3 linked regions of the Lonchura striata genome follow. Each later gene encodes a partner of the first gene's protein in a complex. Links are inferred from orthologs where the notes say so. Each region holds a gene or a part of one and is shown in the gene's direction. Other genes may lie near its edges. The genes, in order: RGS7, GPR158 and GNB5.

Evidence for each region.
Region 2: the proteins of RGS7 (region 1) and GPR158 are in contact, whole or in part, in a cryo-EM structure (PDB 7SHF), measured with the Homo sapiens proteins. The link is inferred for Lonchura striata from reciprocal best matches to the Homo sapiens genes RGS7 and GPR158. Residues at the interface, in NP_001351815.1 of Homo sapiens: Gln35, Ile43, Ser55, Arg109, Phe110, Thr112, Pro113, Tyr114, Phe115, Lys134, Thr136, Lys140, Ala141, Arg142, Leu143, Leu145, Ala146, Asp147, Ala150, Leu153, Gln157, Trp164, Phe168, Met169, Gln170, Glu172, Ala173, Gln174, Lys176, Val177; in NP_065803.2 of Homo sapiens: Leu507, Lys508, Phe510, Leu511, Arg513, Thr514, Tyr595, Tyr598, Ala599, Thr602, Val603, Pro604, Ile714, Arg715, Leu718, Lys719, Tyr722, Leu725, Glu726, Tyr728, Lys729, Arg730, Met733, Ile734, Thr735, Asn736, Asn737.
Region 3: the proteins of RGS7 (region 1) and GNB5 are in contact, whole or in part, in a cryo-EM structure (PDB 7EWP), measured with the Homo sapiens proteins. The link is inferred for Lonchura striata from reciprocal best matches to the Homo sapiens genes RGS7 and GNB5. Residues at the interface, in NP_001351815.1 of Homo sapiens: Pro19, Leu22, Val23, Lys26, Val30, Ile72, Val76, Glu77, His80, Leu81, Leu84, His88, Val207, Asp213, Ile214, Lys215, Lys216, Leu258, Gln261, Ile262, Trp265, Gln266, Gln268, Leu269, Arg271, His272, Arg273, Leu274, Lys275, Met276; in NP_057278.2 of Homo sapiens: Leu57, Glu60, Ala61, Glu62, Leu64, Lys65, Leu68, Glu71, Lys74, Leu75, His76, Asp77, Val78, Glu79, Leu80, Val83, Leu90, Phe93, Arg98, Arg99, Leu109, Lys117, Arg118, Ser134, Phe135, Trp149, Met151, Leu167, Tyr197, Ser206.

What each region holds. Positions count from the first base shown.
Region 1 is NC_134605.1:47,577,794-47,587,721, reverse strand, and holds the start of RGS7 (regulator of G-protein signaling 7), read left to right. Parts: upstream 1-6,343; 5' UTR 6,344-6,373; coding exon 6,374-6,451; intron 6,452-9,928. UniProt on the Homo sapiens protein: GTPase activator component of the RGS7-GNB5 complex that regulates G protein-coupled receptor signaling cascades.
Region 2 is NC_134603.1:139,910,264-139,919,457, forward strand, and holds the start of GPR158 (metabotropic glycine receptor), read left to right. Parts: upstream 1-5,095; 5' UTR 5,096-5,187; coding exon 5,188-6,059; intron 6,060-9,194. UniProt on the Homo sapiens protein: Metabotropic receptor for glycine that controls synapse formation and function in the brain. Acts as an atypical G-protein coupled receptor that recruits and regulates the RGS7-GNB5 complex instead of activating G proteins.
Region 3 is NC_134613.1:12,597,479-12,607,296, forward strand, and holds the start of GNB5 (guanine nucleotide-binding protein subunit beta-5), read left to right. Parts: upstream 1-6,071; 5' UTR 6,072-6,190; coding exon 6,191-6,302; intron 6,303-9,818. UniProt on the Homo sapiens protein: Enhances GTPase-activating protein (GAP) activity of regulator of G protein signaling (RGS) proteins, such as RGS7 and RGS9, hence involved in the termination of the signaling initiated by the G protein coupled receptors (GPCRs) by accelerating the GTP hydrolysis on the G-alpha subunits, thereby promoting their inactivation.

The sequences.
Region 1 (9,928 bases):
CTGCTTATCTGTGCCTCTGGGGAGAGTGTTGTAAATACCAAGTGATAAGAGATGCTGAGAGCAACACACTATTAAATCTGAAGCAGAGACAAAATGTCCCATTTTGTGAACTCAGGGTTTGTTCCGTGCCAATAAGAATTTTTTTACACAAAATGGAAAACATCCCCAAGAGCTATTTTGGAAGTTAGGAGACCAGGATTCAAAACTGTGCTTGAATTAAGGCTGTTAGATCCAAATTAGACTGAAACCTCCATATTTTTATTTTTTTTTCTTCCCTGCAGGTTTGTTCTATCCCTCCATGTTTGATTGATTTCTCCAGCTTGTAACTTAATGTAAGATCACAGCTTATTAATCACAGGTCTTCCAGGCAGTTTTAAAGGAACGTGGTGTGGTGTTTCATTTCTGTAAACACTCTCACTTTTTGATGAAATTATGGTGTATAACCGGTTGTGCTAACTCTTTTAGGAGGGGAAAAAATTCCTAGTAGTGTGTCAGCCAGCTATCCTAGCTTCTCTCTCTTTGCCTGAGAAAGCCTGCCCTCTTCTGGGTGAAATTACTACTGGATAAATTGTCAGGGCTGCAGTGGAACTGCTTGGGGTTGTTCTGCTTTGTCGGGAGAAGCTGTTGGCTTTCCATGAATAGCTTTGGTGGGCCACTATATTGATACAAAATTTTATGTAGCTGTGGACTTTCTGTTACAATTAACAGTAAGGGATAAAATTTGTTGCTTTAAGGTTTCAAATATATGCAAAGTGTACTGTGTTCTCTGTGGGGGTGTGTGTATATCTGTCTGTCTGTCTATCTATCTATCTATCTATCTATCTATCTATCTATCTATCTATCTATCTATCTCATACTTAAAAAAAAAAGATTATGGAAATATGTTTTTTCCTTATTTCTAATAATTTTGCATTCCTGTGAAATTATGTCTGTCCACGACTCATTTTTTCCTATCAGATCAGATTTCTTTTTGCTAAATCCAGATTTCTTTTTGGTTATCTCCTTCTCTTATGTTATAAAAATATCTTTTTGTGTTTTTTAACTCCTTCCCTAACTGACAGAATACTAATATTCTTTTTTGTCAGTGTCATAAATTGACAAAGATAATTAATATTTCACTAGGGTTGTAAGGTAGGTGACAAACCAGATTCCTAGGGTGTAAAAAAATGAAGAAAGTGGTGAAGTTTCTGTGAGTCCTGGTTCAGTTCTAGAAAATACATACTGTGACCTGTAATCATCATGATGACATTTGAAGACGTACATTAAACAGATTGATTGCAATTCACTCCTGAAGGAGCAGGTGTTCAGATCTCATCAAAAAGGCCAAAGGCTGGGCCTGGAATCACTAGGTACCTGCTCAGAGCTTGGCAGTGAAACACTTGTGGTTTGGTAGGGTCACAAATATATGAATTTGATTAAAGTAGGCAGGTTCTCTCTGTGCTTAGCTGGCTAGTGAAATAAAAAAAAAAAATCTGGGTTTTATAATTTAAGGTAGCACAGTATTAACTCACTCAGTGTTTGGAGTTCAGTTAGCATGTTTACATTATTTTAGTAAATTTGAATGTGGTTGTTTATAATGCTCTGAAGTGTTAAAAACTTGGCCATAGAACAAGATCATGCTGTGCTAAGAGCTTGCACAGCATATCTTTACTCCAAGGGACATTTAGTCTAGGCATAAGAGAAGATAAATTGATGGATATAGGCGGCATACTGACATAATGCTACAGCATTGGCCAGCCGGACAGACAGCAAAATTTCTGGTCATATCCAGATAGATTGTTGTACACATCCTGACGTAATATTTTTTACTTAAAATTGCCACGTGTGTGATGTTATTGGAATACTTGAGTTGTACTGACAATGAAAGCTAAACACAGAAAATGTAGTCACCACCTTGCTCAATCATGTGTATTTTATTGCCTTGTTAGATAAAGCTGCCCCTTGGCAGCCTTTCCTCATCATCTTTGTTTTATTAATGAGTAGATTTGCCTTGCATTTTGAAAAGGCCTTTCCTCTTCTGGCAGACCATGCTTTCTGGGGAGGCTAATGCTGGTTGTATATGAGATAAGTGATGACTTCCAAGATGGGAAAGATGTGTAATTTATGAATTAAAGCTTTTTATAGCCTATCGAACAAACACACCCAAGTACAATAGAATGAGACTATCTGGTTACATATATTTTAAATAAATGATCTTCTTTCTATTTGCATTTTTGAAAGTAGTCCAGCCCAGTTCTTTCACCATCACCACAAAGTGATGGCAAAAAGCAAATTCTGTTGGTTTGTTTCTAGTTTTCTGTTTAACCCCATTAGGGTTTAGAGTTCTACTTCATTTAGGCAGTGGACATGCTGGTGAAAAAAATTTAATGTGCTTCAGTGTTGCAGGTCTTTAATTGTGAGATACATGACTGAAATGTTTAAGGTATTCCTCTGGCTCTGAGGACAAGATTAAAAACTATGGAATATAGTTCCTTTTGATGTTACTGGAGAAATACCTATTAACTTCCATGGGCCCAAGTAATTGGTCTGCTTTAGAACTGCATTTATGTTATTAAAATTTGATTATTTTCAAAGAAAATATATAAACATTGCCTATTGATATAGGATATTATATTTTACTGTACTTGTAAAATAATCAGAATTGTTAAAACAAAATAAAAGCAAAGGCAAAATTGGAGGCAGCACAGCCAAAATCTAACTCAGTTTGGTATACTTCTGCCCTTAGTTTTAAGGACATTCTCAGAAAATAAAAACTTGGAAAATGTTGCTGCCTGAATTAGTCAGCTTTGCTGGGGAGCTTTCCAAAGACACAGAACTGCTACCAAAATCTATTTGCAGAATACTTTATAGAAAAGTAGGTAGTTTGAAGTCAGCTTTTAAGTAACTTCATGCAGGTAGTCCAGGAATTGTAGTCCAAAATGGTTTCATTTTATGTAGATTGTTTTGTCCCTTACATTAACAACAAAATGAGGCAGAGTAAGAAAATAAATATTTGCTCTCATTGGAAACTTGCTAATGTTTGATTTTTATGCTCTTTAACACAATTACTATGTTTAGTGGCTGGCAGAACAAATGAAAATAATATGTCTTATCAATATTTTTAAAGATTTTCCTCCTATCCCTCTTTAAGGGTAAAATTATATTTGAATTATATTTTGTGCAGTTCCCATTTTTACTCTGAAAAATAAATTTAAACACCAGTTTGATAAATAAGATTTTATTTTTATGCCATACAACCATAAGGGTGTCACTTGCATTTTTAGCAGATCTTGGAGGCATTTCCCTTGTCTTCTAGTGCACCTGTCAGACTTACAAAGTCAAAGCACTGAGCTCTGAACACTGCAGTGCTGCTTGCCTGGGATGTCTGTTTGAAAATAGACTGAGATCTTTATTCCTGGTTCCCATTTGCCAACAGTGGGCTGAGCTGAATCAGAGAATCTGTTGGAAGATTAATATTTTGATCCTGACTTTATTAGCCTCACTGAGATGCTATTGTATGTAAAGTGAATTTTACTGGGAAACAGGTATTAGTTCTCTGTTTAATCTTTGGTTTAATGAATTCCTCTGCCAAGTACTTTCAACATTGATACTTCACATTATGTTGTGCTGTTGAATTCTTTCCCATGTTCTCTTCCACCTCAAAACTCCAGAGTTCTCTCTTTTCTAGCACTATTTGTTTTCACATTTTCTTTTCCTTGTGACATGATAAATTATTCTCCTCTATCGAAATTGAGACACACAATGTCTGTCTGCTTTTCTTTGCAACCAGTGTATCTCACTGAACAGAGTTGATGGTTCTTATTGTGTCATTTCACCTTTTATAACTTCTGTCTCTTAAAAACATTCCTATTTGTGATGGAGATCATCTGTCTTTACTCTGATGTTCACTCTAGGACCATTATCAGACTTATGTCTTCTTTTCCTCAGTTCTCCAAGAAGTCCAATTGGTTCTGTCCTTTGTCCTTCATTTTGTTGTTGCCACTGTGACTCCCTATCAATGCCTGAGCTAGCTTACCACATCCTCTGCTAAAGTATCTAAAGGCATCTGCAAAGTTTGGAAGAGTAGTTAAAATTAGTTGCAGCAGATTATAATGACAAACTTCTTGCAGGATAGCGTCGGTTTGAGGCTCTCTGAGATGTGAGAAAGGTAGAATAAGTAAGAGTGAAGGTGACCCAGTATGCATAGAAACCTCTGCTTGAATTGCATGATTTACAAGCACACACTCCACAAGGTGCAGTGCACAGTAGAGGATTCTTTTGCAAGATCATTCTTGTAATAAGAGCTACTGTTTTCAGAAAAGACAATTTTAAATCGAAATATACCAAAGCGTAACCACTTAAGTACTTTGTGTTCTTGTGGATGTTGAGTTCTGGGCATTTCAACCCCCTTGCAAAAGCATTCTTGTCTGCATGTGTTGGGAAAGTAAAATTGAGAGACCTGATCTTTTTCTTCTACCGAAGCTAATGTGAGGCCTTCACAAATTAGGCAGTTGCCTAGGACATGGCAAAACAGTCCCGAGGGTGTCTTGAGGTGTCCTCAGGGTTTCTTCCTGTCTGCCTGGAACAGGTTCACTCTCTGCTCTCTCTGTTCCACTGCTCAGTGAAGTCTGCAGTGCCAACAGAGCACAGGCTCTCCTTAGTTTTCCCTGAAAAATATACATGAGGTGTCCAGCATAAGACAGAGGAAGAGGCAGATTCCCTGCTGCTGTCGGTAGGGAAATATGAAGGAGATGACACAGTTTCCCCAACAACTACCCTTTTCCTTCCCTATCCCATTAGCCCACATTCTCTTCCTGCCCAGCCCACCGGTGATGCCTAATCTCATTTACAGAGGCTTCTGCCAGATCTGCTGGCAGCTGCAGTTTCTTGGCCGCTGTTTTCGGTGAGGGAGCCTGGAGCACTGAGGAAGAGGAGGAGAAGGAAGGAGGAGGAGGAGGAGGAGGAGGAAGGCTGCTGCTGTGTGGCGGAGCGGCGGCAGCGGCAGCACCTTTGACGTGCCCGTCCCCCACGTGACGGCCGCTCCATTGCGGGGAGGGAGCTGAGCTGCCGCCGCTCCGGCAGAGCACGGGAGAGCCGCAGCCTCGGCGGCGGCAGCGGCGGCAGCGCCTCCGCCCGCAGTGCGTGTGTGTGCGTGTGTGTGATGAGCGATCGCCGCGTCCCTCCGCCCGCTGCCGGCTGACACCCACCGCGCGGGGCGCGCCAGGAGCAGCAGGAGCAGCCGAGGAGCCGCGGCCAGCGCGCAGTGACCTTGGCCCAGGAGGTAACCGAGCGGGCGGGCTCCGCGCCCCTCCGCGCCCCTGCCCGCGCCGGAGCCGAGGCCGCGCTGCCGCCGGGCCCCGCGGGCGGCGCCGCCGCTGTCCGCGGTGCTGGAGCCGCGGGCGCCGCGCCGGGTGCCCGCGGGAGAGCCGGTCCGACCGGCCTTTGGCCGCCCGGAGCCGCTCGCCCGGGCGCTGCGGGGGCAGCGCGGGCCAGCGGGCGGACGAGGGGCAGCCAAGCCCGAACGCCAGGCGTCTGGGGGGCTGGGGAGGGCTCGGGAGGTTAGTGCTTGGAGTGGGGCTCGGCGGCTCTCCGGGCTCTCCGCATCCGCCGGCGCGGTCTGTAGATGGAGCACATTCTTACACCTGCGTGCAAAGCCGGAGCTACGGCATGATCCGAGCTCTTGCTTGGTGCAGCTCCCGTGTGACCCGGGGGAGGGCGGGGAGGAGACGGGGCTGGCAGGGAGCCGGTGTTTGGCGGTAAAGTGCGATGAAAGTAGGTGAAAGCAACCGGAACAGTGTTCTGGCTTATTTCTTCCTTTTCCCTCGTCACCTGCTCCCCTGCCCCCGCGTATGTACGAGCACAGATGTGCTGGAGAATTACAGGGAGCTTCAAAGCGTCTGGTTCGCTTTTCGTGCGTTTGAATGTTGTGGAAGTTGCTAGGACCCGAGCTGCGAGCGGAGGGCACTGCTGAATGCACGTCACGGGCCGAGTCAGTCCTCCCAAAACTGGCCTGGGAGGTGCAGAGCGTCCCTTGGTGAAGCCCGTGCAGCGGAGGAGGAAGCCCTCTGTGAGGAGGCGTCTGTGTGATGTGGTGGTGAGCGGTGTGTCAGGGAGCTGTTCCCCGTGACAATTCATTAACGTTTAAATTAGATCAACACGTTACCTCCATAATTTACCAGCAAAAGGGAGTAATGACAGTAAATGGCGAATTAGCAGCTTCGCTCCCATGTAAATATCTATTGGAGTGAGCGCATACACTGATTTTGATAACATGTTGGTAGCAAGGCAGGTCCATTAATCATCGGGGAAGTAAGGAGACCTGAGGTGATGCCCTATTGAAATCACTTTTACCTTTTACAGTGCAACATCCAAAAGCGGATCAAATCTGTGGGACATGGCACAAGGAAATAATTATGGGCAAAGCAGCAATGGGGTGGCTGATGAGTCCCCAAACATGCTGGTGTACAGAAAGGTAAGCCTTTGTATTTTTCAAAAGCCGAGGAAGGTGAAGCCCTGGACTTCTTTGCCTAGCAAGTGAAGCCATTATTTTTGCTGTTTCTCTCCAATTTATTGAATAGAGAAATGACTTTATCTGTTGAATGGTTTGTAATGGTAAAATCTTCACATGTCAACTTTGCATCTTGTTCAGAAGCAGCTGCTTTTCAATTTGAGATACTTGATGTATTTCAGTCACTTTCTGCATTGATACATACAATATTTGATGGTGTGACATGCCAGAGACTGGACCATGTTTTGAGGTCAAATGTTCACTTTTAAAGTTTATTTGTAAAATGATTTCATATGTATTAAAGCTAAATATTAACTGTACAATACAGTATTTCTGGCTTGTGCAGAGAAGTCTGAACCATTAAATTATTTCATATGAGGGGGAAAACTGATTAAAGATCTCACTTATCTGTGGTTGCCACAAGTCAAAAAGCCCTGAAAAACATACACTTTAGAATTTTTCTCTGGGAAGACTTCTAGTGTGGTTATTCTTAGAACATCAATACACTAAATTTCCAGGTATTGAACTCTAATAGTGAGGCTTATTCAGTAATTATGCATTAATTTAAATGAGAGTAAATGCTTGGAGATTTTGAAATGCCTTTATGCATTGCATATTTTTAAAAAAGCCTTAATTGTATCTATGAAAAAAAAATAAAATAAATTTTAATAATAATGGAGAAAAAATAATTTTCCTGTTGCAAACTGAAATAAGTAATTATACAACTGCTTGTTTAATCTTAGAACACAGTGCTTCTTAAGTTGTTTGTGGTTATTTTTACCAGGTGAAAAAAAATCAATACTTTACTTTGTTAGAGGCATTGACTTTTCCTCTTACAAGTTAACTGTAATAGAAAACATCTGATATATAATCAGTTTAGTCTTTGAGGTGAACTGAAGTATAAACACTAACTGTGGTAAGTGTTCTTTTCCCAGAAAGTAAAAAATAGTCTCAAATTGAAGTCTGATGCATGCTTTTTTCTCTTCCTGTTTTCAGATATGTTGCTGATTTCATTTAGTTTGTTGTATCGGCTATTTTGTGAAATTAGGCTCCTTTTACATAACTGAATGAATGTATGGATCTAACTGTAGTTATCCTTCTACTAATGCACATCTAGAAAAAGACAGGATTACCTTGTGATTAACACAAGTGTGTTTCAAAAGGCAACTGCATACATGAAAATATGCTGCACATATGAAAAGCAATATACCAGCTCTTATATTGTTCATTATCGACTTTTGATCTTTCTAAACAGATTCTTTCCACATTTTTCATTTACTTCAATGCTGGCAAAAAGGTCTTTTCTCAGCTTATTTAGGACTCAGAGGGACAGCACAGAGAAACTATTTCTCTCTTCCTTTGGTGGGTTTGGTAAAATTTGTGACCTCTGGTGTTTAATATGACTTCATGCCAAAATTTATCATGGCTCTGGGCAACTTCACCTCTGAGCAGCATCCACATTGAATGGAACAGCTGAGGCAAGTAACAAGAGTCCTGGTGATGCACAAGAGATTTGAAAATGAGGAATGGGAATAGGACATGCCACCTCAGCAAACCAAGACATCAAACACCTTTTTGTTCTCTGCGATACATCGGTAAAGGGATGATATGAATTTGTGTCCTTCAGTGCAGCAGTTGTTACTAAAAGGACAACTTATTGTCCTTGTCACTAAGTCACTAAGAGCACAAGTTGTGCTCTGAGTATTAAACTTTGAAAAATACTGACCTTCTACAGCATTACCTGCCCTATTTGGGCTCTTTTTTTTTTTTTTTTGCCTACTTATTTTTCTAGCAGAGTGAATTAAACATAATTTCGGATTATGTACACTGTGTTAGATTACAGAGAGAAAACTAAGTAGCCATTCGTTTGGCAGTACTCAACAAAGAAGCAACAAAACAATAGATAACTTTTCAAGAAGTCGTCTGCGTTTTCTTGAAATAGAATATTGGTGTAAGCAAGCATGTTCTCAATTTTGGATCTGGAACATAAAAGGAAATTTGTCAAGTGGAAATCATGTCACTTTATCATTATAATCTCTGAGTATAATTCTTTAGCAGGAACAACTAAATCACAGAATTTCTTGTAATACATTTGAAAACACAATACTTGTCTCTGTGTTGGGAATGAAAGCACTGTATGAACAAAGAACTAGTTCTGACAGTTTCATGAAGGACTCTATTTTTTGGCCAACTGGAAATGTATTAACAGTTTTTAGAAAAAAATATAAACATGCTGCTGGCTGAGTTCAGTCTGAACTGGATTTGAAGTCTGGTATTTTGAATAATGTTGCTGAAATGCACAAAGGTGGAAATGCTTTCTTCCAGTTGTTTATACATCAACAGATGGAAAAGCACACATTTTGTGATGTCTGTACTGGGACATCTCTTACTTACGTTAATGGAGAGTTGAAATTTGGCTGTGCTGTGAAGGCTGTTATTTTGGCTATATACCACAGTTTTGTAATCTGGTAATTCTTCCAGTCTGTCTAACTTCCAGACACAATCTGAACTAAATATATTCTGAACTACATGGAGTTACAGCCCTCTATTGCCTAAATCTTGATTCTGTCAGGAGCGTTTTATAAAAAATTTTATACAGAATGAAGTCCTAGTGTTTTCAAATTTGGTTTTTAAGACTTAATTGCTTCAAACTCTTGACAAAAGAAAATGGCCAGCTTTCTATTTTTTAAAATGTATTTGGTTCTTGTTTAGTTGCTTATTTGAAGAGTTGAACAATTGATAATCATATTGTAATCTCAAGTAATATAGAGTGTAGATAGTGTCTTATTCTAATAGTAGTTTTTATTCCTAGCTGAACAATGGTTTCATTACATTTAATTTCATTTCTTTTCAAAAAAGATTTTTTTAAAAAAATCAGCATAGTATAATTCAATATTCAATACACACATAACTAAAAATAACTTATTTGAATCAGGAAAAGATAGCAGCACAGATAAATAGTTCCCTATATAATTTTTACTATGCCTTTTAAGATGCTTGTGTCAGTGTTTTTATGCCTTGGGGAATAATTTTTATTTTAATAGAATGTCAGCTACATTATCCTTTTTGTCTATCAGCCTAGTTATAAAGTAATGACATGTGACACATCATTGGCACTGACATACCTTAGAAAAAGTCCTGAATTTTTCTTCTGGTAGCCTGAGGCAAATATGAAAAATGTAAAACCCCTCCTTTCATTTCTTCTCTGACAGAGTCCATTCCAGTCAGCAATTAAAAGAGATAAGAGTCTGAAGTCCATAGTATTTTAACATCACAAATTGCTCATGCAGAAATCTCATATTTTGGCAGCACTAACTTGCTGCTGCAAGCTACGTCTTAGGGAAGAAACTTGACATGTAGTAGTGTAGTTGAAGTTCTTCTAAGTTTCAGAGTCTGACCAGCCTGTTTTTTTTTTTTTCTTTATTTTTTTTCTTCTTTATT
Region 2 (9,194 bases), on another chromosome or scaffold:
AATTCGGAAAAATCAGAGGTTGCCTAAAATCACTTTGGTAAAAACAAGTACAAAAAAAAACTACCCAGAGTTAGCAGAGCTCAAATCCTCAAATAAAAATAGATAATAGGTAACTGGGAAGCAATATGTTTTGAAAGGTTATGAGTATTACTCATCATTACAGACTTGAGTAGTGGTCAATACTGTGATGAAGGTGAAAAAGCAGGCAGACCTCAACATGGGGTATATTAACAGAGAATTTTACTTGTTCTGGAGGTTATGCTTGATAATGGGAGGCCTTGTCTGGGATGCCTAGAGAAGCAGGCTAACAGAATGGATAGTTAAGAAGAGAACAGTAGGGCCAACAACAATTTTGGAAAGCAAAACATAGCCTGTTATGAAATTTGATTAACTTAGCCCAGACAAAGAAAAAAAGGAATAAGGCAAAGTGGTCTTTTGTAGACAAATACTAGTTTATGGTGATTGTGCTGTGATAAGAAGGCAAAGAAACAAAGTAAAGAAGACTTGGAGTATATTATGTGGTCCCCTCACCCCACACCTGGTTCATGCAAATGAACATGGGTTGCTTTCTTTGATCCAGCTGTGAGTTTCATGACATTCGTAGAAGCTTGTAGATCTCTGTGAAACTTACCTGAAATTAATTAAAGGTATCAGAAGTCACTGGCAGGCAGACAAAAAATATTGCTGCTAGAATGTTATTTGTTTAAGTACTCAAGCTAAAAGTAGATGTACTTTTAGGAATACTTTACTTTTCATGTATTTTTAATTACCAGAAGCAGCAATTTTTATCAACATGTTGTCTCTGTTTTGTGAGAGAAATACAACACAATTTTAAAAGTTTTGGTACTTACTCTTGTGTGTATTCTCTGTATATCTCCTAAATAGTTTAGGACAAAGACTAATAAATGAGTCTTTAAATATATTTCACAGCTACAACAGTCTTTCCTTGCTCCCAATGCAGTAAATGTGATGATTTTAGCATTTCAAATAGTTCAGATAAACCATGATCTTTTTGCATAGACCATATTTGAAGAAAGTAAGCTACACTTACTCTAGTTTGTTAATAACATCTAATATTTTGCACTATTGTTCTTTCTACACTGTAATTAGATTAATGTAGAGCTGACTTCAGTCCTGATAGGCAATACAGTGAATTGAGATGCTGCATGTACAATGAGTGAAGCAATTGCAAGGGTTGTAAAAACAGAAATATGCAGGACAGTGGTCAGATGCCTCCTCATTCCTTGCAGTGGATGGCTTGATGGAGCACTTCTGACAGAATTGAGGCAGAAGCATAGGAAACATTATTTAGTCAGAGTAATCTTGTGTCTCAGGGGACTCCCAGTCCATTTTCACATTGTCTTGGTCACAGCTGAACAGATTTCTGACATAATCAACTGATTACATATAACAGTCCAGAAATACTAATGCATTTTAATATTAAAATAAAAAATACAATGATCACATGTTTCTACAGTCCTTAGTTGTTACAGTAGGCCCCTAGCTGAGTAATAATTAACATTGGCTCCATGATTGTAGAAGGCTGGTTGTTTTAATATATAATTTTACACTATATTATACTATACTTATTAGGAAACTCAGTAACTTTTACAGCCAGTCTGATCTAGTTTTGACCTAATTGGTCAATTAATCTAAACAGTAATTAAGAAATCACTTTTTGGTAAACAAATCTCTAAAATATATTCTACATGTGCGCAACAACAAGCAGCAGTAAGTGAGATATGAATGGTTTCTCATTTTTTGCTCTGATCTTCTCACAGCCTTCCCTGGGAAAATGCCTGGGAAAATCTGTGCCTGCTCTCTGTGGTCAGAGAGAGTTGCTGCCACACTTAGTAAACTTATGTAAATAAAATATTTGGTAGATTTCCTTAATCTAGGAGGATACTATATTTCCATATTACCAATTCCCATGGATCTGGGTCCCATGGCATAGTGTTTAGAAAGCTGTAAGAAGATGCACATTTGCAATGGCTTAAAATCAGTTTGTGTCTCATTTTGGACCTGGCTGTACACAGTAGCTGTTTGGGATCAGCTCTGAACTGATTGCAGAAGGAAGCCCTAAGGATAAAGGAGGCATCTTTGAACCCTGTGTGATACAACTGTACAAGACTCAGCCATGCTCCTGGCACCTTGAATGAGAAAGTCCTCAATAAACCTCATCCTCTCCCTCTGACTCAAAAGTGCCAGCATAGAGACCAAACACCCAGAGCAGACTGATAGGACAGCAAAAAGAGAGGCTTCTAATGCTTGAGATTAAGGGAGACTTCCAGCATCTGGGAGATGTGCACTAACCCTTTTGGGACTTTGCTCCTGGCATAGCTAGTGAAGGACAAGGAGCAGGGGGATTGGTGGGTGCCACTGTAGAAGGGTATGTGGAAGGACCATGAGGTGATTAGGAAACACAAGGGACTTACCATGCAAGTGCATGGAGGGGAGAGTCGATTATCCTGAGAATGTGTGAATGTGGCCATTGGATTATCCTGAGAATGTGGCCATTGAGCAGGCCTAGTGCAATTCCAACAGGTATTGATAGTCAGGCTAAAGTAGGGAAAATGAATTTTCAACAGGGAACCAGCCTTTCCTTTACAGCAGCTCTTGTCTGTCAATAAAGAGAATTAGCCTAGGCACAACATTAAAAAATGTGTCATTTATTATGCCAGTGATATCTCTCCATGTAACAGATCCTACGTTAGTTTAGCTCAGTCCTGAGAACTGCTGCTGTCAAAAGCCCTAGTTCTCCCTTATCCACAGCAAATGATGCATCTTTAGGTATTTGCTCAGAGCAGACTTGGAAATACAGACTCCCTGTGCTGTGCTAAACTGTAAATACCAGCTTCTGAGCTTCTCAGCATAAGCAGTTTCTAAATCTCACAAACTATTCACTTGAGGGAAAGTTCAGTACAAGTACATTGTTCTTACGTGTTGAATATCCTCTTCAACTGCATGCAGCAAGAGACAAAAAGAATTTCTAAATTTCTCTCTTAACCAACAATATTATAATTATTAAAGGTTTCCATAGGTAAAGACAAAGTTCACAGCATCACTGGGATCTATGGACTGCAAATGTAATTTACATCTAGCTATCTTGGAGTGACTATGCCATCAAGTGTCATTTCAAATAATTCTAAAATAAGATTATGCTTTAAGAAACAGATATAACTTGTCAGTGGTTTAAAATTAGATCATATATTCTGCATAACTGAAATCTGCTCCTAGGATGTGCATGCACATGCGTGTGGGGGAGAAAAGAAAAAAAAAATGGTTGTCTTTTACTACTCTTTTCATCTGCACTTTTGAATTCCAAAATGGAATTTTATATTAAATGGGAATGGAATGTAGTTAGGAGATTTTGCCATGGACCACCTCCTCCAAAACTCACCCTTTGCTGTCTCCTGTCACAAATCCCTCATCCATTAGTAAGATAATGAGCATGTGCATAATTCTGCATAAGAAAATGCACAAAGTTAAACACATGTTGAAATGTTTTATTAAACCAGATCCTCATTAGTAATCATGATGCCTTATCTGGAAAATCCAGATAAGCATTTGTATTATTCCAAGGGGGTTTCCACAGAGCAGGAGGAAAGCTGAGCGATCAGCCTGTGCTGCTTCGGCTCCACACAGGTGCTCTGAAGGTCAGTGTTAAAAGCCACTGGATTAAGGATTTAGTTCTGAAAACAGCTGTAGGAATTAGCACCTTGGAGTTAAAACACTAAGGGGAGAAAAAGCCCACGGTTACAGAAATACAGCCAGCCAGGCAGCGGAGCTGCAGGGCGAGGGAAGGTGCTCAGCGCCCGCTCCGGCGGGATGCTCTCCGTGCAGCGGCAGGCGAGGCGCCCGCGGGCGGCGGGCCCGGAGATCCCGAAGGCGCCTTTGCCCTTTCCCACACAAACGTCGTTCCCTTCGCCAAACGCCTCCCTCCCGGGCAGCCCGGCAGGCCCCACGCGTCCCGGGGGCAGCCGAGGATCAGCCTGCGCCCCCTCCACCCACCCTGGAAACGCTGGAAGCGGGAGCGCCTTCCCCACAGGGCACGCAGCCCTGACAGGCATCAGCCCACGCTGCGGATCTGGCTGGAACTGCCTTCCCCCGCAGCGCCGGGCTTCTCCTGATCCCGGAGCGGCGGAGGAGGCACGGAGAGGGGGATTTTGGGCATCTTGACCCCCCGCTCCTGCGCTCGCCCCGCGGCCGCTCCCGCGGTCCCGCCGCCCGCCCCCGGCGCGGAGGCGCAGCGGCGCCGCCCCAGGCCCGCCACCAGGTGTCGCTGCCACGCGCCGCGGGAGCCCCCCGGGCCGGCGGAGCCCCCGCGGATTCCCGCCCGCGACTCCCGAGCCCCGGGAAAGCGGAGCGGCTCCCACCGGGACGGGCGCCCGCCCCGCCTCCGTCCCCAGCTGAGCCGGCTGCAGGTGAAGCCAGGTGCCTCGACGCCGCTCCGCGGCAGCAGCACCGCCTCCCCCGGCACCGCACGGCGCCGTCCTCCTGCCCCGTGAGTGGCTGCCGGCTGACTGACAGGCGAGGCGGCCACATAGGGCGGCCGCTGCCTGGCGTACACCTATAAGGGCCGGTGGCGAGGAGCGCCGCGCGGTGTGGGGTTACCCGCGGCGGAGCCGCCCGGTGACCATCCGTCCTCCCACGGCCGGGCGTTCTCTCTCGCAGAGCCGAGCGGAGGCGGGTGCCTGTCCGCTGACTGCTCCCCAGCAGCGGCCCCGCCCGCCGATCCCCGCAGCAAGTGGCAGTCCCGCGCCACGGGCCCTCCTCTCCGGCAGCGGCGCCCGAAGGATGCGGAGCGGCGGAGCGCGGGCGGCGGCGGGGCGCCGCGGGGGGACCCGCCGCTGCGCCGGGCGCGGGCGCCGCCGCCCCTGCGCGCTGCGCCGGGCAGGAGCTCAGTGAGCGCGGTGGCCGCGGCGGGAGGAGGCGCAGGAGGGCTCGGCTCTGCTGTCGCCGGAGGGGCTGCGCGCCGCTCCGCGCCGGCGGTGGGGCTGTGCGGAGCCCCGCGCTGGGGAGGCTGCGGGCGGCACCGCCACAGGTGACTCGCGGGCCGGGGGTCGCGTTCCGCCCCGCTGCCGCTCGGCCGCCTCTGCGCGTTCGCACCCCTGCGCCGCGGCCGCCTGCGCGCAGCCCGTCTTCAGCCGCCTCGCCGTGCCGGCGCGACCGGCAGCACCGGGGGACATGGCTTTGCTCCGGCTCCTTCTTCTCTTGCTCCTCGCCCAGCGCGGGCTGGGGGCTGCCGCCGACCGAGGGCAGGCAGTGCGCCGCCGGGAGCGGGCGCTCGGAGGGAAGCAGCCTATTTACAACCACATCAAGAGCCGGGAGCCTCTGCCGGCCCCGCGGAGCCGCTCTACAGAGAGCACCATCTTGGCGCAGCGGCTCGCCGAGGAGGTGCCCCAGGACGTGGCCTCGTTCCTCTACACGGGCGACTCCCGGGAGTTGCGGCGAGCCAACTGCTCCGGGCGGTACGAGCTGGCCAGCCTCGCCGGCAAGTCGCGCTTCACCTCTCACCCCTCCCTGCACGGTGCCCTGGGCACCCTCACCCACGCCACCAACTTACTCAACATGATCCTCCAGAGCAATAAGTCGCGGGAGCAGAACTTGCAGGAGGACCTGGAGTGGTACCGCGCCTTGATCAGGAGCCTGCTGGAGGAGGACCCCAACATCTCCAGGGCCGCTATCACTCTCAGCACGGAGCCTTTCTCCTCCACTCCCCAGGTTTTCCTCCAGGCCAGCAGGCACGAGAACCAGGTCCTCCTGCAGGACTTGTCCTCCACGGCTCACCGCCTGGCCAACGCTACTGTGGAGACAGAGTGGTTCCACGGCTTGAAGCGCAAGTGGAGGCCGCATCTGCACAGGAAGGTCTTAAATACGGGCCCCAAAACTTTGGAAAACAGTTGGAAGAGGCGGGAGAGCTTCACTGCTGATAAGAACCACATCAGGTGGTCCTCGCCATACCTGGAGTGCGAGAATGGGAATTACAAACCTGGCTGGCTAGTGACCCTCTCGGCGGCTTTTTATGGGCTGCGGCCAAACCTCCTGCCCGAGTTCAGGTAAGAGGAGTGTTCTGCTTCCTTTCTGTTGAGAAAGGGAGGGGGGAAACAGGATGGACATTTGGTTCTGCCCCCTCCTAGGGAAGGGCATTCTGGTCTCTGGGTGACCTGATCAAGCCCTGCCTCATGGGCTGCTCAGTCACACCGCAGAGCAACCTCAGGCCTTCCTGTTGAGCTGTACCTTCGTGCCTTCGGGAGCTGTGGCTCCTTAGAAGAATCACAGTCATCTCCGTCTGTAACACAGCGTTTGCTTTACCTGCTCCCATCGGAGCAGCCGTGCATGTGGGTTACATTCCTGGTGTGCTTGTGGGGAGAGGTGAGCAGCAGTTGCCAGTTGAAGTTCATCTGTGTCAGCAAGAGGAAACAACTCTCTGAATTGTTATTTTTTACTCTACTGCAAAATTGAACCTAGCTGGTCCCCAGCTATGCTTTTAACCTGCTGGGAAATAACATTGTTGTGCTGATAAACTGCTGCTTCTGGTCTCCAGAGCACATCCACTGTGGGGTGCTCGAGCCCGGTCAGTGGTAGTACACTTGTAGGTAAATCAGTGCTGGTGACTGCCGTTCTGTCATAGTTCATGGGGCTATAACCTGAAGTGGCAGTAGGGGAGCTTTCCTTTTGCACCACCAGCTTTATATTTGATACCTGGCATATGTAAAGGTTTGCTTAATTTTTATTGCTTTATATACTTTTTTTGCTTTTATATACTTTGCCAGTGCACTGCAGCTAACAGAAATGAAGATAGAAAGAGGCCCTTTCTTGTGTCTTTGTATCTTGACACCAAAGAGGTTTGCTCAAAGAATGAGAGCAACCTGTGAAGTGTGAGATGCCACTTTTTCCCCTGGCATTCCTGCAAGGGGTTCACAGGTAACTCTGTCCAGTGGGGAATGCGCACTGCCCAGAAGCAGCTGGCATTTCTCAGGATGAGAGAGAAGCAGAAGACTTCTTTTGTGCTATGAATTATATTAGTAGGTAAAGATTGATAAGAATGTAGCAGACACCAAAGAGATTTTGCCACACCTAGGTAGTAGCAAGGCAATAGTGTCTGTGAATGCTGTTTCTCTTGGCTTAGTCTGAAATCCAGTGCAATCAAACAGATATGAGTACAGTCATAAATCCTTGAAAAAATTCAAAATTTGTTGAATGGATAATGGCTGCTTATTTCTCTGTTGAATTAATTTTTGCCCTGAAATTTTCACACTTATGGGGATGATAGGGTTAAGGTAAAATGATCTCAGCTGTAGGCTGTTTGTTGCTGAATTCCTCTCGAGACTAAAACCCAGGAATAGGTCTACTGTAGAGCTCTTCTGGACCCTAGGGAGTCCAGAGAAGTCAGGAAGCTTGTCAGAGATCATTGAAATGCAATGTTCAACATTTGATGAAGCTCGGGATGTGGATGAAAGTTAATGTAGGCTAATATTCTCTTGTTGGGGATAAAGTTTGGCAGAACCACTAGGCTGGAGGTGTGGTGGCAGCCATAAACCATCTCTCTGAGAATATAAATTTTGATACCAAGTTTAACTCAAAGAAGCTTCAATCTTGACTTAATTGAAGGGGAAATAAACACACGTTTTAAGGAAAAGAGTCTAAAGCTCCAATCCCAGCTCTGTGCTAGGATTCTGTGATGCCAGGAAGCATCTCAGTGGTGTAGGTTTCTGCTGTGCTAGCTTTGGGGTGCAGAACACACCAGGTCTGTTTTGGCGTAACCCTGGCCACCCACGGCAACCAGTAGATGTTCTCCTGGATGTAGTGCAGAGCACTGCCTTCCCTGCCTCATCTTCCCAGCCTCTGCTTGCCACGCGGGGGTCACTTCCATTCAAGAAATACTAGAATAACTTGTTATAACACTGACACTTCAAGGGGCATTCACTGAGATCATCTAAGCTTGGAGAACCACTTCTTATTTAGAAGATAGTGAGATGGAGCATGTTGTGCAAGTTCAAAGTGTTGTATTGCTGTTATACTGAATAATTAGGACAAAACCAACAAAGATTTGTTGTATCAACAGAGATAAGTTTGTAAGCATTTCTAAAAAACGGATTATGTTTTTTGCCAGACTATTAAATAAACAGAAGAAATAAAATTATAAATACTTACACATTCTGCCAACGATAGTTCCTGTGCTCCTGATTTGAGGTATGCTAGATAAAAGATGGGCTTAAATATAAGGTTATTACTTGGGATATTGAGAAAGTAGCTTCTCAGCTACACAGAAAATGGTATGCACAAAATATGCTTCCAAGACTTGTAGTTTGTCTCAATATTTACACAGTGTTTTTAATACTTAATAGGTACACAGCCTCAATGCGAATTTTTAAGAGAAAAAATGGTTTAAAGCATGTGGAAACATGAATTGAAAAGTGTAACATCTAGTTATTGGAAAATTAGTGTGTGAATTACTAGAAGATGCCTCTTGAAGTGAGCTTCCTCTCACCATCAGTCTTTGAGTGAAACAATATTTTGAATTTAAATTCTTATTTAAGGCCCATATGAAAAAACAGTTTGTTAACCTCCATCTTTTGAAGTAGCTATGCTGCTTCTCCCCAAAATGTATCTTTGAACCATCTGTTAGAAACATTTTAATGAATCGGTTACCATGCTCCTCCCATTTAGTAGTCTGGTGTGATATCATTAATGTTAATTTAGTGTATGCCTCCTTATTATTATTCTGTCAGTTTTTGTACTTTCTTTGCTCACATTAGATTTAATGCATGGTACATTAGGGTGAGATTCATTAAGGAACATGCTCTATTCATGAGAGTTCTTTCACATTACAGAAGGAAAAGCCCATTCTTGGTATCTCTTCTGTGACAGCAACAGATGGGTTTGTTCATGTGGCGTAGCAATGGGAAGAGTTTAATGAGGGCAGTACTGGTAACTACTACTGGCTGTGTTCAGTGCATGCTGCTACAGCAGTGCTGTTGTCAATGGCATTCTGAAAGTGCAGCACAAAGCAGCAAGCTTTCTTCTTAGCATTGTGAAGAGTTACAGTGCTTTTGGCCTGAGGGGGCTCTTGCAGACAGCTCAGTGTCTTCAATTTCTCCTCCCCCCTTCCCAAGAGATTACTGCCCAACTGCCCCAAGTGAAGGCCAAGGAGGGAATGTGGTTAAATGTAGCAGTGTGGGGTTTAGATG
Region 3 (9,818 bases), on another chromosome or scaffold:
ACAGAGGAGAACTGAGCCAGGCACTGCAGACATTTTACAGCTCCCTGGAAAGGGTGACAGCTTGTGGTCTTGGGTTCACATTTGCAAAAAAATACATTAAAAGATTCAGGCCATATTTGCTGCTTTTCATCAAGTGGAATATAAATATCCTTGACTGTTGACTGAAATCTCCATGCAAATTTTAAATTATTACTGCAGTTCCTTCCAGGACTGATTTCTTCTTCCCATATATTTTGGGATGAAGTCATGCATCCCCTGGAGACAACAGCAAAACTTTTATTGACTTAAGAGTGGGCAGACTTAAGAGTGAGATTTCTATTGTATTACTTTTCAAATAGACCACTAAAATACATAAGAATAAACAGCAGAATGGAGACAAGTACACAAAGTAAAGTATGGTTTGATTTTTTTATAATGTCCAGCAAGATAAATTCTAATATGTCATAGGTCATTGAATTTCCTTTGTTCCATTTAAATCTCTCTTGGAATAACTACTTCTGATTGTTTACCACAAATTCATTTTTTATGTGCAAGTCTAAATATTGTTTAAAACTTCCATTTTTAGAAGAAGTGAAAGGTCCCGTTTTCCCTATGAAAAATGTACAGACAAAAATGACACTGCAATATTATTCTCATTTGTTTGTCTGACTCTGAAGTGGTTTTTAATACTCTGTTGGTGATAGAGCTTTGATCTTAGAGATGCCTGGCTTGAGAACAAAAGTGGATTTGTAATGACCCAAACAGCATATTGGCCATAATATTTTGTAGCTGCTGCTGACCAAATATTAGGTCATATTTTCAGCTTTAAAGATAATGCATAATAATGACTATTTTATAATGCAGTGAAAAAATAAAATGTATTGATCGGTGCAGGTTTCTCAGAAGTCCAGCTGTTGCTGTGGATTTCAGGTTATTGTCTGCTGGCAGTGGCTAAGTACAAATTAAAAATACTTTCCCACATGTAGTGAATCCATATGCACAGCACATATTATAATGGTGTGTATGTTTTGCTACATGTTTTTCTTCATAAAAAAGACTCTGCAGAGCATGTGACTGTCACGTATACAGTGACAGGAGATTAGTCACAGAGGGAGATTATGCAGCCTACAGATGCCTATATACAGCCTAGGCTCCTTAGCTGGCGCAGCAGCGGTGGGAAGCTTTGTGCTGGGCTGGAATGAATGCTCTCCTCCTCCTTCTCTTGCAGCTCCCGTGAGGCACCAAGATGGACCAGACCTTTTTAGCAATTGTGTTTGGTCCCTGCGACAAGTGCAGCAAAGAGAAGCCGCTCAGGCCCGTGTCTGTGAAATCAGAGCAGCGCAGCTACTGCTCGCTCTGCGTGGAGATGGTACGTCCTGCGCAAACGCGGCAGTGCAGCAGCGCTCGCTGAAGTTGGATTTTTCTGGAGAGCAAATAAGCATTGCTAGCCCACAGACTGCCAAACAAACACCTCTGCAGACACCTGGTGTTTCCACAAAGCAAGGTGGCCCCAGGGTTCAAGGATTAGTTTTGTGATTCTTGATTGGAAATTGGCCAGGAGCTTTTTACCCCAGGGTACCACATTGCTGTGTAAATGTTATGTGCCCATCTCTTCCCTGAGATACATGTGTGCTCTGCTTGGCCTATGATCTTGGGTTTCCCACTTGCCTTTGAAAGGACTTATCAATAACAACAACAAAAAGATTAAATCATCACAACAAAGCCATTCACTAGACAGGAGATACATTCACCCTGTCTGTCTCAGACACCAGTGAAGGGCTGTCACAACTCCTTTGTGCCCTCATTTCCTACTGTGACCAGGGTGTCTCCTGGGCTATCTGCAGTACCTGGGTGAGAGCTGGAAGTTGCTACAATGGAAAGATGGGGAAAAGTTGCAGAGCAGTGGTATGTCTTCTGTTGGAGGCTTTCTAAGTTTCAGCAATTAGTGGTGAGGTGATATCCCACTCTCCTGGTAGGGAGCTCTGCTCCAGAGACATCATGGTGGGGTTTTTTTAGGTGAAATAAACAGCTAAGGTCATGAACCTATGTGGCTATGGAAGAGCTGGCCTCCTAAACCCCTTTTGTAAACTTCAGAATTTTGCTGCCCAGCTTGCAATAGTTTTATTTTATCTCCCTTAACCATTGTGCATTATCAGTTGGAGATGACATCCATCACTGTTTCCTCCCCAGAAGTGTTCTCTACCGTAGAGTCCAACAGTTTGTTGTATTTGAGTGTCAGATGAAATGATCTCTGCAGAAATGCTGAAAGGCTTATCAAGCTGTGTTTACATGGCACTGCTGTACAGGGAGATGAGAGCACTGATTTGGAGGTGTAGGTGGTACATGTGTACAGTTTACTGCCTGACACAGCACATTCCCATGCATTGCTTTGTTTAGAAGGAAGTTTAGATGTAATGACTGCAAGACAAAAGGCAGTCCATTCCCAGATTATTTGCTTCTCCTGACTGAAATTGCTGCTTTGTTCAGGTCCTTCTTGGCCAACAGCCTTCTTGGCTATTTATTCAGTAAATTTTTGCAAGGCTTGATAAATACCTGCTGGAATTGCAGGAAACTGGCTGTTTGTTATTTACAGTTCCTGCAACTTTCTCCCTGTTATTGGCAGTATGGATGTCAGACTTCTAGCAGCTGGAACAGCTGGCAGGTGGAAGCAGAATGAGACTTCAGGAGGAATTCCATCAGTACCTAACAGCTTGTTAGGCTTCCTGTTGGCACTGCAGAGGGGTCTGGGGCTTGCTGGTAGATCTGGCTTTAGCTTGCTTCATAGTTTCTAAAAGGTTTAAAAGCAGATATTCAGAACACAGAGAGCTCTTTGCACATACACACAGTGGGGAAATTCCATCCTTGATTTTAAATCGTTTTTTTCAGAGCTGTGTGTATGCTTTGGCTTATATCAAAATGCACAATATATACTTTGCCACAGTTGTGTTTGTGGATGCATGTACATATTGTGGTGCCTAACTGGCTGATCTTCCTGCAGCTCCCTAATGTGCCCATGCAACTCCTAATTTCAGTCCAGCAGATGTACACATGCATTTTCATCAGCCAGTCTTGGTGATTTCCCCAAAAACAACATATGTCCAGGGATAACAGAATTAGAAGTTGCTGATTCCCAGTGTTGACATCATCTTACTTCAATTGTTTGCCTTATAGACAAAATAATCTTCTTCCTCTAGGGTTTTGCTTGCTTTGGAGTTTGGCGCTAATCATTAGAAACTCAATGTTTGCTGCTTTAGTTTCACCACAAAATTAGCTTACAACTTGAAAAGAGATCAGCTGGTGAATTAGTGAGAAAGGAAACTTTATTTTAAAGGCCTGACTTTTGAGGTAGGCAACAATTTGTTTTATACTGCTAGATCCTTTATTTTCCCCAGTGTTACTATTACCAGAGCAGGACCAACCTTCTTCCATGGATCCCCATCACTCATCACTGCAATCTGGTGTATTTGCCATGTGTGGCACTCGTTGATGTAGTGCTGCTCTATCATCTAAATTAATTCAGCGCTGGTTCATTTTATTGAAAGCACCCAATTGGCCTTGCCTGTATTTTTGCAAGGTTAGCTAATGATGACATGGGCAGTTAAGCAGGAGTTGGTCAGATGAATTAAATACTTTTAAATTTTTTTTCCAAACCAATGAAATACACATTATGTATCACACACTTCTACAGCTCAGTGTGTTCAGGAAAGGCTTCCCTATCACCTCCTGGCTCTGCTGACCCCATAATCTCAGGATTAGTATCACCTATCAGCCTGCACATGTGGGTTCCCAAAGACTCTCACCTTCTGTGCTGTTCTTTGTAGACTTTTAAATCCCATTCCACAAGACAGTGAGACTGTTCACATCAGTACAAGAAACTGAATTTTTCACTCTTAGAACTATGCCAACTGTCTGACACATAGGTGTTATCTATGCCAAATCCCTGAGAGCTGATGCATTCCTATCAAGGCAAAGAAATTTCCTACATGCTGTTTTTGTTGGGTTTAACTTCTGGGCCTCTCTGCACTTATCAGGTGACAGAGATAAGGCATTTGTTATAGACTAGAATCCTTCAAAAATGAAGTTTCTTCTTCAGAATCTACTTCTGTTAGTCCCCCAAGACACAGCTTCATTATTGAGTTTAATATAAGTAGTTTTAATTTTTCAGACCTGAAGATAATTCATTGGAAGAAGCTTTCTGTCACATTCCTGCTAAAAGATCTTTGGGCTTTTTTTCTGTTCTTTTGGTATCACTTAAAAAATATTGTTTTTATTTCTTTGGCATAGTCTGTCATGGGAAGTATTTCTGATGTGCTGGTTACTCTTGGGGGCTTGGAAGGATGTTCCTTTATCCAGCAGTTTGTGAACTTATACTGCCTGCATTTTCTTTTGTGATTCTGAACACAAACTGGATCGATGAGTTCAGGGTTGCCTACATGGCCATCAGGCTGGTTGAGTTAGATCTCACCAGATTCTGTGGACAGTGAGAAGACTGGAAACAGAGCCACTGCATTTGATTCACACTTGATTGCATTCGGGCTCTGCCTGCAGAGCCATTGACTAAAAGGGACCTTGTGGACATGGCCAGACCGGGGCCTGAGTTCAGCTCCAAAGTGATGGTGAAGAGCTCAGCAGCTCTGCCTGTGCATCCCAGCTGGACAGCAACGCTGCTTCTAAACCCAGTGTGGGAAGGGACTTCTATTTTCTCTGAGACCCACACTTTGTCCAGGATGGGCCCAGAGGCCAAACAACAGCTGCAAACATTTTCTTATCTCCCTCTCCAATCTTGGCACATCCCCAGGTTGAACAATAGCCACTGGATTGTCTATTTTCTGGCTAAAGGGAGATAATGGCAGTTAATTTGCACAGAGTTACTCCCTGTAGATCAAGGACAATTCTGTAATAAAAAGGGAACATTTTTCAAGGAACTCCCAGGGAACAAAAAGCTATGTGCCATGGGTCTTTCTCTGGAAGCATCAGCTGCTCCCTGTGCCCAGCACACATTCATATGAGCAGAACCCAAACAGCTCAGCCCCTGGGCTCACACCACACTAAAGTGGGGGTCTAGTTATTACATCTTTGGGATTTTGGAAACTGCTCTGTTTCAAGAGATGGGAACACGACAGACCCTAATGTGCACATCTAAGAGTAGAATATACAAGGGGTAGCTTGTCTAAAGGGAAGAAACAAAAAGGAAAGGAACCCTGATAACACCGATTTTAAAAATAAGGAATTCAAAGCATAGTAGAGAGAAGAGTTTTCACTACTGCATCTGTCCTGCTGGCCCACGACCAGAGACCTGCATTGCTGATTCTCCCAGTACCCCCTACCCATAGGAGTATCAGGGAGTGATGGAGCTAAGATGGGACTTGTTAACTCTGGACAAGATATGTCTTCCCAGTCTCATGTTTTAAAATGCCATTGGGGTGACCGATGGCTTTTTTCCCCCCTTCTTTTCCCCATATTGTGCAACTTGTACAGACAAGTTTAGGCATGCAGCAGAAAAATCCAACAACATGTGTTTCTGGGGAAATGAAACCTCTGGGCTTTGAAGAGGGTCTGGGATATGTTTAGGAACGAGGCAGGAGGTGAGACTGGTCCCAGTTGCCGGCCTGGAGACCACGGGGATACTGGATCAGGGGATGCTGCAGCCGGCAGCGCCGGGGATGCTGCAGCCGGCAGCGCCGGGGATGCTGCAGCCGGCAGCGCCGGGGATGCTGCAGCCGGCAGGACCGGGGATGCTGCAGCCGGCAGCGCCGGGGATGCTGCAGCCGGCAGGACCGGGGATGCTGCAGCCGGCAGCGCCGGGGATGCTGCAGCCGGCAGGACCGGGGATGCTGCAGCCGGCAGCAGCGGGGATGCTGCAGCCGGCATGACCGGGAATGCTGCAGCCGGCAGCAGCGGGGATGCTGCAGCCGGCAGGACCGGGGATGCTGCAGCCGGCAGGACCGGGGATGCTGCAGCCGGCAGGACCGGGGATGCTGCAGCCGGCAGCGCCGGGGATGCTGCAGCCGGCAGCAGCGGGGATGCCGGTCCCCACGGTGTGCGTGCTCAGGACTGGCCTGGACGTCAGCGGGGAGGGGAGGGGAGCCCGGGCCGGCTCCGGCGCCGTTGCTGAGGCAGCAGGAGCCGCCGCAGCATCCCCGAGAGCCGGGCTGGCAAACTCCTCCTCCCTGCCGCTCTCATCCCCGCTCTCCCCGCTTCCTTTGCAAAGATGGCAACCGAGGGGCTGCACGAGAACGAGACCCTGGCGTCGCTGAAGAGCGAGGCCGAGAGCCTGAAGGGCAAGCTGGAGGAGGAGCGGGCCAAGCTGCACGACGTGGAGCGTGAGTGGGGCCGGGCAAGGGCGGCGGGGCCGGGCCGGGGCCGGGCCGGGAGCGGCGGCGCTGCCCCGGGCCCTGCGGCGGACAGGGCGGGCCCCGGGCCGGGCTGAGCCCAGCCTGCCCCGGGCCGGGATGAGCCCAGCCTGCCCCGGGCCGGGATGAGCCCAGCCTGCCCCGGGCCGGGCGGAGCCCAGCCTGCCCCGGGCCGGGATGAGCCCAGCCGTGCCCCGGGCCGGGATGAGCCCAGCCTGCCCCGGGCCGGGATGAGCCCAGCCGTGCCCCGGGCCGGGATGAGCCCAGCCTGCCCCGGGCCGGGATGAGCCCGCCGTGCCCCGGGCCGGGCGGGCCCCGCCGAGCCCGCGGCTCCCGGGTGCGGGGCAGGCCTCGGGCCGGGCACGGCCCCGCAGCATCCCCGGCCCCACGGAGCTCCGGCCCGGGCCGGCGGGGCTGGGAGCCGGGCGGGGAGCCTGAAATCCCCTCGGTACCGCCCGGCATTGGCCCGCAGCGCTCGGGGGCAGTGTCAGCGGCCGGGGTGAGCCCCAGCCGGGTGGAAGTTAATGGGAATTCGCTTTACTGAGGCCGGGGTTTCACCCGAGGTGTGGAAGGGCTTTAAAAGGAGCGTTGTTTCCAAACCCAGCTCCTCTGCCCCCCTTCTGCCAGGGACACAAGGTGCAGGGATGCAGTGCTGATTGCGAGGTGCGGGTGAGTCAGTGCTGGAGCTGTCAGTGTGGAAATCTCCGTTATCAGCTGCAGCTTCAGGATCCAGGGACAACCCACCGGAGTTGCGATGGACAGACCTCAGCCCGGGCCTCCCCCTGTCCCCTTCCCCCTTCAGGAAAGAAGCTCACCTTACCTTAATGGAGCTTTTCAAATAGGCGTTCACAAGTTCTGAGATACAAAAAATCCGTCTATTTTCATGATTTCATTCTATAATTACAATGATACATTGCAGGGTTGTTCGGGTTTGGTTTTTTTTTTTTTCTGGTTTTGTTTTTTTAGAAAAACATGTAAGTTACTGTTTCTCTCTGAAATCATGTAGCTCACTCTATTAGAAATATTAGTGGGTCATTAAAACTTTTCTTTCATGTGTTTGGATGCTTTAAGCACTGAAAAGGTATCCGAGCTTCTATCCAGTGGCTTAGTTCTTAGTGTTTTGTAAGAATGAAAAACACTTGATTTTCAGGTTGGGAAGGATTGCAATAAAATAAATATATTCTGCAATAAACAGAACATTTTCTTGTCTAAGTTAGACAATTATGTTATATTAATGTCCTGTTAATCAAAATAGTTAAACAGAAACATCCTCATTACAGAAACATTACCATAAATGACCATATTCCTATAGTACCATTTCTGTATCAGAAGTGGCAGGGTCTTTGGTTAACAGACCTCTTAAGAATATTCTTAAACCTATGTTTGCTCACAAAATTTTACCTATGATTACAGTGGTACTGTAACTTTGTGTGCCATTGATAGTCATGGGATATTCTTTATCATATATAAAATCTGTTAATTTCCATTGGAAAGCTGTGTTTGCAAAGCCATTACAGCATTTCTAAGACAAAATTGTTATGCTGCTGTAAAACAATGCTCCCTTAGGATATTTTATATCATTGATTCTGTATCAGAGCTTTTTTACACTTAAATTATTTCCAAGTAGTATTTCTGCAGCGTTTGTAAGTTTCAGAATAAGGCATCATTTCTGATTTTTGCTTGATTGGTTTGGGCTTTTTTCCCCTAATCTAAAATTGCATCTTGTGCATTTTTTTGCTTGGATCATGACTTTCCCTCTGTGGTTCCCAAAAGAAATAGCTGGCTGAAATAGATTGCCCTTATTTGTTCAATTGGTTCTGAACAGCAGCTCCCAAAAATGTGCTTAGAAAATGGAAATGCCAAATATGCATTTGATTTGCAATGTTATAATTTTCAGGAGTCGATTCAAGAGCTTAAAATTTTAGGTGTAGACAAAAGTTTGTTCTGTTTGTGCAATCCATGAATTTTTAAGGCCAGAGAGACCATTAGACTCAACACTGAAAATATCAAAGACCCAAGACCCATCAATTCCACACCTCCTGTCCAGACCAAACAATATTTTTAAGAAAAATAGGCAGCTTTATTGGGACTCAAGCTGTTTACTGGCTTTAGCTAATATATTTTTCTGATTTTTGACTATCTTTGAACAATGTTGGTGAATGGTTAAAAATAACTATCTGACTTTCAAACCTGTGCTAGGCAGGAGCAGGATTGTTGTGGCTGTGGTTGGAGATAAGCATCCTCAGAGAATCAGTGAAGCTAGACCAGACAATTTCATAGAATCTCAGCTTCACTGACATAATGGGAACAGTTTGTCCAGTGTCTGTGAAAGGTTTGTTTTTTTCAGATATTCTCTTTCCAGCTGCCATGATAACCTCCTGTCCTGTGTTTTCATCTCTTTTGATGGAATCATTTGGCAGGTTTCTCTGGGCAGTAGGAGGGGTAATGTATCTTTTCCTCAGTGGGTTTATGTAGTACTTTCTCAGAAACTTGCTTCTGACTTAGGGACAGATGGTGAGGAATGGTGGACAGTGCTTGTCCCCTGGCTCAGGGAGACTGATTGAGCAGAGATTTCAGCTGACAGCATTATTCTGGCACAGCCTGTGGGGCTGGTGGCTTTGAAAGACAACTCTTGAAGAGGCAATCCACTAGAAATCAGTTTCTGCCTTGGGCAGAAATTGCTTCACTGAGCCTGTGCCAAGAAATGATCTGTAAGTTCAGGATGTGGCTCTGTCACTGTCACAGCCCTTCCCAGCCTGTGAGCTTTCCTTCAGCCCCAGAAAAGTGATGAAGGGTGAAGTAGCAAGGCAGCTCCAAAGCACCACCTGCCACGGGGTGAACTCCGTCTCCAGCAGGGCAGTGAAAAGCTCAAAATTTCCTCTTCCAGCTCATTAAAGCCTGTGAGCTTCTCCCTTTATTTCAGAAGGTTTGAGCCAGGCATTGATCCCACAACCAGCAGCAGCTGGATCATCTTAGGTTTTGGTGTGGGCAGCCACACAACACAGGAAGGGCTGGAATCCTATCAGCTCTCCTCTAGACAGTGTAAATTTTAACTCTGGTGCCAGTCTCCAGCCTCAGGATCTCTACTCTGCTGAGGGACTTGAAGTGAGGCTCAACCTCCCTGTGTGTGAAGAGCTGCCCCTGGGTGCTGAGATAAATCCTGGCCCTACTCAGCTCCACCCTGGATGAACACACTGGAGCAGTGCAAATAGGTTTCCTCAGATGACATTTTCTCCCACACATTTACAGATGACCCCAGTTTGAGGCATCAGGGTTATATGAGACACCTTTCAGTTGTGTCAGCTGCATGAATTTTATGTCAAAGTCAGTTTGCACAAAAAGAAATGTAAATTTGTTGGGTTTTAAAGAACATCAGCTGAAAGTACTGTTGTTAAATGAGGTGTGAAAGAACTGACTTCTCCACCAGAGGATGCTGCTCAGGAAGGTTGCTTGCCTGCCCTGTTTCCCTCTTTTGTAGTAGGGACA